Xenopus tropicalis: one gene and its partner. The protein of the gene in region 2 interacts with the protein of the main gene of each other region in a pairwise test. Links are inferred from orthologs where the notes say so. Each region holds a gene or a part of one and is shown on either strand. Other genes may lie near its edges.

Region 1 (3,994 bases), on a different chromosome or scaffold from region 2:
CCCAGCAGCCTCCCACAGCCACTGCACTTAACAGGAGCCTGGACTTGGTATATCATGAAAGCCTTGGGCACTAAGCTAAAAAGGTGGGAGCCCTAAAATCAGGAGTAGCCAGCTTATGGCCCTGAAGCAGTTAAACTATAGCAAATGTGATTGCCATTGATAGCAATATGTCAGCCCTTCACTGTTCTCTGGTTCCGACTTTTGAAACAATGTAGCATAAACCAGTTATCCTGCAGGCCAGTTAATCCACTGGCTTCTGCTACATTGTTTCAGGAGATAAAAACAACCTGACTGATACGGTTTTCAATGGCAGTTGCAAATGAACTGTAAAACCTAACCAGTTAGCCTTCTGAGGTACATGGCTGGGCTAGTGGTGTGTGCTGGGAGTTGTAGTTTCTCCAGTTTCAATCAGTGCAGCCATAGTCATAAATTAGCATCCCAATGCATAAACAATAACTCTTCCTTCATATACAGATGTAGAACACCATGCAGATGCCCAGCACTACATTCCCAAAGAGGTGCAGAGAGATGCAGTTTAGCACCATATTACAGCATTAACCTAATAAACACAATGCAAGGGAAATAGGTTTACATAGTGCTTTTTTTTAATATTTCACATAAAAACCAATATATACATATCAACATTTTATGTAAACATTCAAAAATTCATTTCATACTGTTCTGTCAGCTTTGTTTTGTCTTGAAAATCACAAATTTAGTACCACTGTCCAAAAATAGCTTTTTTACCCCCCCCCCCTCCCCCAAACTGGACTTTAACAATGTAGTGTCAGTTGCAGAATAAGGAAAACATAACGACTCAACTGCAACTCCCAACATTCCCCAGACTGTGGCTAAGAGCTGTTGGGAGGCATGAAGGCTAAGGGCCACAGCACATGGGGCAACATTGGGCACTTTGTGCTGCATTTTTCTGTAGCACGGTGCAATAGTAGCACCCTCAGCACTTCTCATTACATTCTATGGGGGGCTACTAAACACCAAGTGGCCGTTAGAGCACCCCCACGTTGCCCCTTGTGCCGCTGCACTAACACGCCATGCCGCAGTTATTAAAGGACAGATCAGTGTGCAAAGAATGAGTCCCTAGTGTTACACTTGAGGATGGCAAGTGCGTTAAACGTCAAAAATAAAGGGGGAAAATGTGCAAAAAAAAAAATTAAATTTGCGAAAGTCACAGAAAAACATTTTACCCGGTTCTGATCATTCAGAACAAAAATGTATCCAAAAGTATTCCCCCCTGCCCCCTTTGGTGCAATGGGAGAGCCCAGCAATCAATGCACAGCTGGTTTTAGTTCAGCACTGAAGTGGTTAATGCCTCTCTACCCCTGAGGGGGGGTCACAGTTACAGCTCAGCAAATGACAGTTTTGTAGCTGCTGCTCGTAGCCGGATTGCGGGGTTTGCTAGCCAATGTGGCTATAGGAATAACCCCCAATGTAACAGTATGAGGGCGACTACGTGGAACAGCTACACAACTCCCCGCTGCCCTGAGCGTGAAACATTAAAGGGCACAAAGGGGGTAGAAAAGATGGCAGTTGGGGTACAGCCCATGCAGCTTCTCCCCCCCACAAGGCATGACAAGATGGAGAGACAGAAGTCCTATGTACAGGGTAATACTGAGGCTCTGGGGCAAGGAGATGCCCATGGTGATGCCCCAATACCCCACTCATTCTCCATGTTCCATGATGGCGGCTCAGCTGTGGGGTAGCAGCCCCTGTGGCTCTGAGCTGGGTCCCAGGGAAGGGCAGTCCCCCCTCTCCCTGTACTACCGGAAGCAATAGTGTCTCAGGCGGAATGTCCCCTCTGTGCAGAGCAGGATGAGTCCGGGGGGGATCAGAGGAGCTTACAGCAGCTCATACATTCACCGCTCCGGCCGTGTTTCTTCTGCAGCGCCGCCCTAGTGGCCGTTTCGAACACCTCCCGGACCCCTTCCTTGGTCTTGGCCGAGCACTCCAGGTACTCGAAGGCGTTAATCCTCACGGCCATGGCCCTGCCGTCCTCGGTGCGGACCGGCTCCTGCTTCATGCGGGCCAGCTCGTTGCGGACGTGCTCGTCGTTCCTCAGGTCCTTCTTGTTGGCCACCAGGATGATGGGGACGCTGGGGCAGAAGTGCTTCACCTCGGGCACCCACTTCTCCGGGATGTTCTCCAGCGAGTCCGGGCTGTCCACGGAGAAGCACATGAGGATGACGTCCGTGTCGGGGTAGGAGAGAGGCCGCAGCCGGTCGTAGTCCTCCTGCCCCGCCGTGTCCCACAGGGCCAGCTCCACCTGCTTCACGTCCACCTCGATATCGGCCACGTAGTTCTCGAACACGGTGGGAACGTACACCTCGGGGAACTCGTCCTTGCTGAAGACGATGAGGAGGCAGGTTTTGCCGCAAGCTCCGTCCCCGACCACCACCAGCTTCTTGCGTATCGCGGCCATGGCTGCCCGGCTGCTGCTGCTAGAGGCTGCCCGGTGCTTTCTCAGCTTGCCTATGGCTCTAATGGCGAGGCCTCTCAGAAAGAGACGGGTCTGTAGGATGCAGTTCCTCGGTACTACACGCCGGTACCGCTAGAGCAGCTCTCTCACACACAACCACACCGCTCGGCTCTCAGAGCTCATTCACACCCAGTAATGCAGCGCTCCGGCCTTATAAACAGGCAAGCTGCGTTCTTAATATAGCCAGCCAATGAGCGGGGCGCCGGTGACGTTATGCACAGAGAAGCCGTGCGATGATTGGAGGAGGAGAGTGGCTGGGCGTGGCCTCATGCCGCTGACTCTGTGACACTGGCGGATTCTTTACTTGAGCTGCTGGGGGAAGGGGATGAGGGGCTGATATTGTCCCGGCGGCGGAGAGACACGGTGACATGTGGGGTTCAGCTGTTATGTGGGGGGAATGGGGAAGAGCCCCCTAAAGTATTAACTTGCCCTTTAGTAGCTCTACTCAGTTTAGCAGCGTGTTAGCGATATACTATGTCAGAGTTTGTGCTGTAATAAACGCTATCAGTGATGATAAAGGACCGAAAGAGCTTACAGTCTAAATGGAGAGGGGGTGTGACCCTAAAGGAAGGAGACCCTGCAACTGCTGTGGGGTCCCAGAGATATAGCGGGCCCCCAGAGATATAGCTGGCCCCCAATGATATAGCAGGACCCCCAGAGATGTAGCAGGCCCCCAATGATATAGCGGGGCCCCCAGAGATATAGCGGGCCCCTAGAGATGTAGCAGGCCCCCAATGATATAGCGGGCCCCCAGAGATATAGCGGGGCCCCCAGAGATATAGCGGGCCCCCAATGATATAGCAGGACCCCCAGAGATATAGCAGGACCCCAATGATATAGCAGGACCCCCAGAGATATAGCGGGGCCCCCAGAGATATAGCAGGCCCCCAATGATATAGCAGGGCCCCCAGAGATATAGCGGGGCCCCCAGAGATATAGCGGGCCCCCAGAGATGTAGCAGGCCCCCAATGATATAGCAGGACCCCCAGAGATGTAGCAGGCCCCCAATGATATAGCGGGCCCCCAGAGATATAGCGGGGCCCCCAGAGATATAGCAGGCCCCCAGAGATGTAGCAGGCCCCCAATGATATAGCAGGACCCCCAGAGATATAGCGGGGCCCCCAGAGATATAGCAGGCCCCCAGAGATATAGCAGGGCCCCCAGAGATATAGCAGGGCCCCCAGAGATATAGCGGGACCCCCAGAGATATAGCAGGGCCCCCAGAGATATAGCAGGGCCCCCAGAGATATAGCGGGGCCCCCAGAGATGTAGCAGGCCCCCAATGATATAGCAGGACCCCCAGAGATATAGCGGGGCCCCCAGAGATATAGCGGGACCCCCAGAGATATAGCAGGCCCCCAGAGATATAGCAGGGCCCCCAGAGATATAGCAGGGCCCCCAGAGATAAAGCGGGGCCCCCAGAGATATAGAGGGCCCCCCAGAGATATAGCAGGGCCCCCAGAGATATAGCAGGGCCCCCAGAGATAAAGCGGGGCCCCC
Region 2 (3,651 bases):
AGAAGTGCATCTAACACAGCTCGATTTGGCTCTCCGTTACCTGGATCATTACCGCTTACAACATAATATGCAGAACGAACTCTCTTAAAGAACTCCAAATCCGTATTCTTCTCATTACAGTGATTAGGAATATATGCCAAGTCAACATAGACTGGTGGCCCAGGTGGAACTGTGGAACTTGCTTTGGAGCCGCTGAGACCTGAAAATGGTAAAAAGCATGAATATATAGCATATATACAGTATTTATAGCAGCTGAAGAACAGTTTGGTCATCATATTAACTCTTTACTTATTACAGTGTTTTACCACATTTATTAATACAAGGTCTTATTGTGCTGGTTGAAATATTGTATCAATATATTGCTATTACTGTATCACTCATGCTAGACAACATTTTCATTGTGCAGTATGCCATCTAGTTGACAACTTTAATACCAACTACTGGTCAGTTCTGATAGGTCAAACACACACTTTTTTTTCTAGGATGAGCCAGTAGACCATGGGTCCTCAAACTACGCCCCCCAAGGTAATTTACCTAGCCCCCGCCCTATCCTCACCCCTGGCTACTACCTGTCTGCCTTAGTGTGGTCCTCGCTGGATGCGTCATTAGTGGTTGCCGGTATAATGCGATGACGTGACACGCTGGGGCCAAGGACCACACTGGGACAGACAGGTAGTAGCTAAGGTTGAGGATACAATGGGGGTGGGGGCCGTAGTTTGAGGACTAACTATAGTTCGGCCCCCCACAGTCTGAGGGACTGTGAACTGCAGTAGGACCCCTGCAGTAGAGCTTTTGCCATGGATTCCAGCTTCAGAGAGCCCTATGTGAAAATGTTTTTGTGTATTTGTTGTTTATTGTTGATTATTACTGTTAATATAGGGATTTATCTGAAGTATTTAATGCATATTACATTTTGCTGCACAAGTACTGTATATATACACACATACTTCTTCAGCAGTTTTCTCCTAATTTGCATTCATGTACATTTTCCCTTCACTTGTTGGAAAAACGTTGACAAGCTCACACATTTATTAAAGCAGACAGATGTTTAAATTCTGCCAAATATTGCTTTGTGCAGTTAAACACAATCCAGCTTCAATTGGGTGTTAGTGCGCAACATATCTCAGCAGCAGCAGCACTGAGCACAAACACCCATCTAAAAAATTGCAAGTGGGGACTAAATTCAGACAATTATTTTTTGTACTGAAAGAAATTGTTCTGTATGGAAACTAAACTGTCATATTTTAAATGATCAGTAATGTTTTAACCAATCGTTAATAAATGGACTTGGTAATTGTTTGTGTGTGTGCTTATGTCCCACAACTCCTGGATTTGGCACTATATTTCAAGGGTAAGACAGATAAAATCTTCCTAAACTTTTGTGGTTTTATCTATAAAACAGTGTCTCATCCCTATAAATAAAAATATTGCACAGAAAATACAATAGACGTGGAATATGTATTTACCTGTAGATGACTTGATGCCATTAACCATCTTGCTAGTATTACTGTAACTGCCTTTAGACACTTCGTCTTTTTCTTCCCCTCTAGAGAACTGTGTCTGCATCGGGCTTCTTGGTTTCTGCAGTTTTTCAGCAGATTCCTTATCTTTCCTTATAGCTGTAGTTTTGTGAGATTTATCAGCTGAGTCCCTGGATGTTTGTTTAGAGAGTGTTGAGGAATACTTAGAGTCTGCTTTCCTAGCAGGAGAAGTTGATTTGACTTTTGTTAATGGTTTTCTGACTCCTTTGTTTTTCTCTTTTAGATCTTTTTTGAGCACCTTGTCCCCTTTACTGAAATTTAATTCATTAACTAAAGCATCTGGATCTACCATGCAAACATCAGGGTGAGGAGGGTGAGGCTGAGGGTCCATCATTGGAGCAGGATGAGGATCATGACCTTGCCTTGTATTGCTGTGGTGTGAATTCCCCATTGCTTTATCCACAGGAAGAAAATCAGCATCTTCATCTGAATCCATTGCAGCATCAGCAGTTATGGAGGGACACTCTTCAGTTTCTGGTGGAACATCAGAATCAGATTGAGAGGTTCCTGAGTCACTAACAGATGTAGGTGGTGTTTCCTCAGCTGTTGTGCCTTGAACATGGCATGTATTTGCATTTGCATGGTGTGTCCTACCTTTAACAGAAGGATGACCTTCATCTTGTGAGAGATCACTGTCATCTGATAAGTCAAGAGGACTTGGGTTGATGAATGAAGGAGAAAGTTCGCCTTTTCTGTGTAGATATTCAGATGATGACAACATGCGCTCATATTCACTTGATGATCCTAACCGAGGCTCAAACTCATGAGAGGCATCACCGTGGTCTTCTGTTCTCTCAGGACTTTGTGTGTAAGAGTAAGACTCTAATGTATGTACAGGGGACATAAGAGAAGAAGGTCGGTTTGGTTTCTCTGTATCCTCCTCAGAGCATGGAGATGAATCTCTGTCAGAATCAGGTGAGGTTTTTACTGCTGCTGAAAAACATTCACCTTCTTTATATTGGATGTTTTGAAAAAACTCTTGGCTGTTATTAACTTCTGTGGGACCATTTGCTGTGGATGTTTCTTCCTTTTGACATGATGGCACCAGACTAGAATATGATTGCATTGTTGCTGAAGTTGTTTCACCACTGCTCATTTGCTCATTCATAATGGACATCATCATGCAAGTTGGTCTCTTGCACTCTATTCTGCATGGCAATGTATTATCATCCGTATCATAGGAACAAGCAGAATTATGATCTCCAGCTGAATCCTTTTCTTCTGCCAAACAGGGCTTGGTGGAATCAGCAGGAACCAGAGGTGATACATCCCACAGACTTCTAACAGTTGCTTCGGTATCTGCAGTGTAAGTACTAATCATATGTGAATATAAACCTTCAGCAATATCCCTTCTAACAGGTGTACTAGCTTCAGAAGATGATCCCGAAATGCTTTGAGATTCCTCTTTCTGGGCATCTAGCTCTGAATATTGTTCATAAGGAATTTTAGGTATTGAAGGTTTCTCCTCAGTCAGACTTAGTGGTGAGTGATCAGGTGAACTTAACATTGAGTGTTTGTCTTGAGAGGAGTCCATTTCACAAGCCCTTTCAGAAACCTGTAGGTATTCATCATGTTGCCCTGTTGCTACATCTGATATAGTCATACAATTTGTGCCTAATGCGTTGATACCAGTGTAGGGCAATGATTCAAAGTGATGCTCGCTTAAAGCAGAAGGTGGTAAATTGTAGGTTTCCTTTTCTGAAAATGTTGCCTCAGATAGATATTCCCATTTTGGTTCTGGAAGCTCCCTTTCTAATGCACTTGGTGCTTCGTCATTTTGACCAAGACTGCAGCTTTCTAAAAATGTATCTTCTTTATGTGAATGTGAAAAGCTTTGTGATTCTTGGTGATCTGTTTGGTGACGTTCATCTGTAACATCTGAAGAGTCAAATTGTGCACTGAATGGGCAATATGTATATTCAATATCACTGAATACTTTGTTTTGTTTATTTTCATAGATATTATACCCTGTATTGTCAAAAGTGGGATGTTCTACAGCTGCTTCACCCCTTATTTGTACTGTGCTGCTTTGGTCGTGAACATTTGAATTTAAATCATGCTGTGTTTGCTCGGAATGTAATATGTAATCAGACACTCTCTCTTCTTCTAT

What was found.
Region 1: the proteins of map1a (region 2) and rhob interact in a two-hybrid assay, tested with the Homo sapiens proteins (2 studies listed by BioGRID and IntAct). The link is inferred for Xenopus tropicalis from reciprocal best matches to the Homo sapiens genes MAP1A and RHOB.

The regions. Positions count from the first base shown.
Region 1 is NC_030681.2:143,341,400-143,345,393, reverse strand, and holds rhob (rho-related GTP-binding protein RhoB), read right to left. Parts: upstream 2,609-3,994; 5' UTR 2,438-2,608; coding exon 1,847-2,437; 3' UTR 584-1,846; downstream 1-583. UniProt on the Homo sapiens protein: Mediates apoptosis in neoplastically transformed cells after DNA damage. Not essential for development but affects cell adhesion and growth factor signaling in transformed cells. Plays a negative role in tumorigenesis as deletion causes tumor formation.
Region 2 is NC_030679.2:107,201,148-107,204,798, reverse strand, and holds part of map1a (microtubule-associated protein 1A), read right to left. Parts: coding exon 1,467-3,651; intron 200-1,466; coding exon 1-199. UniProt on the Homo sapiens protein: Structural protein involved in the filamentous cross-bridging between microtubules and other skeletal elements.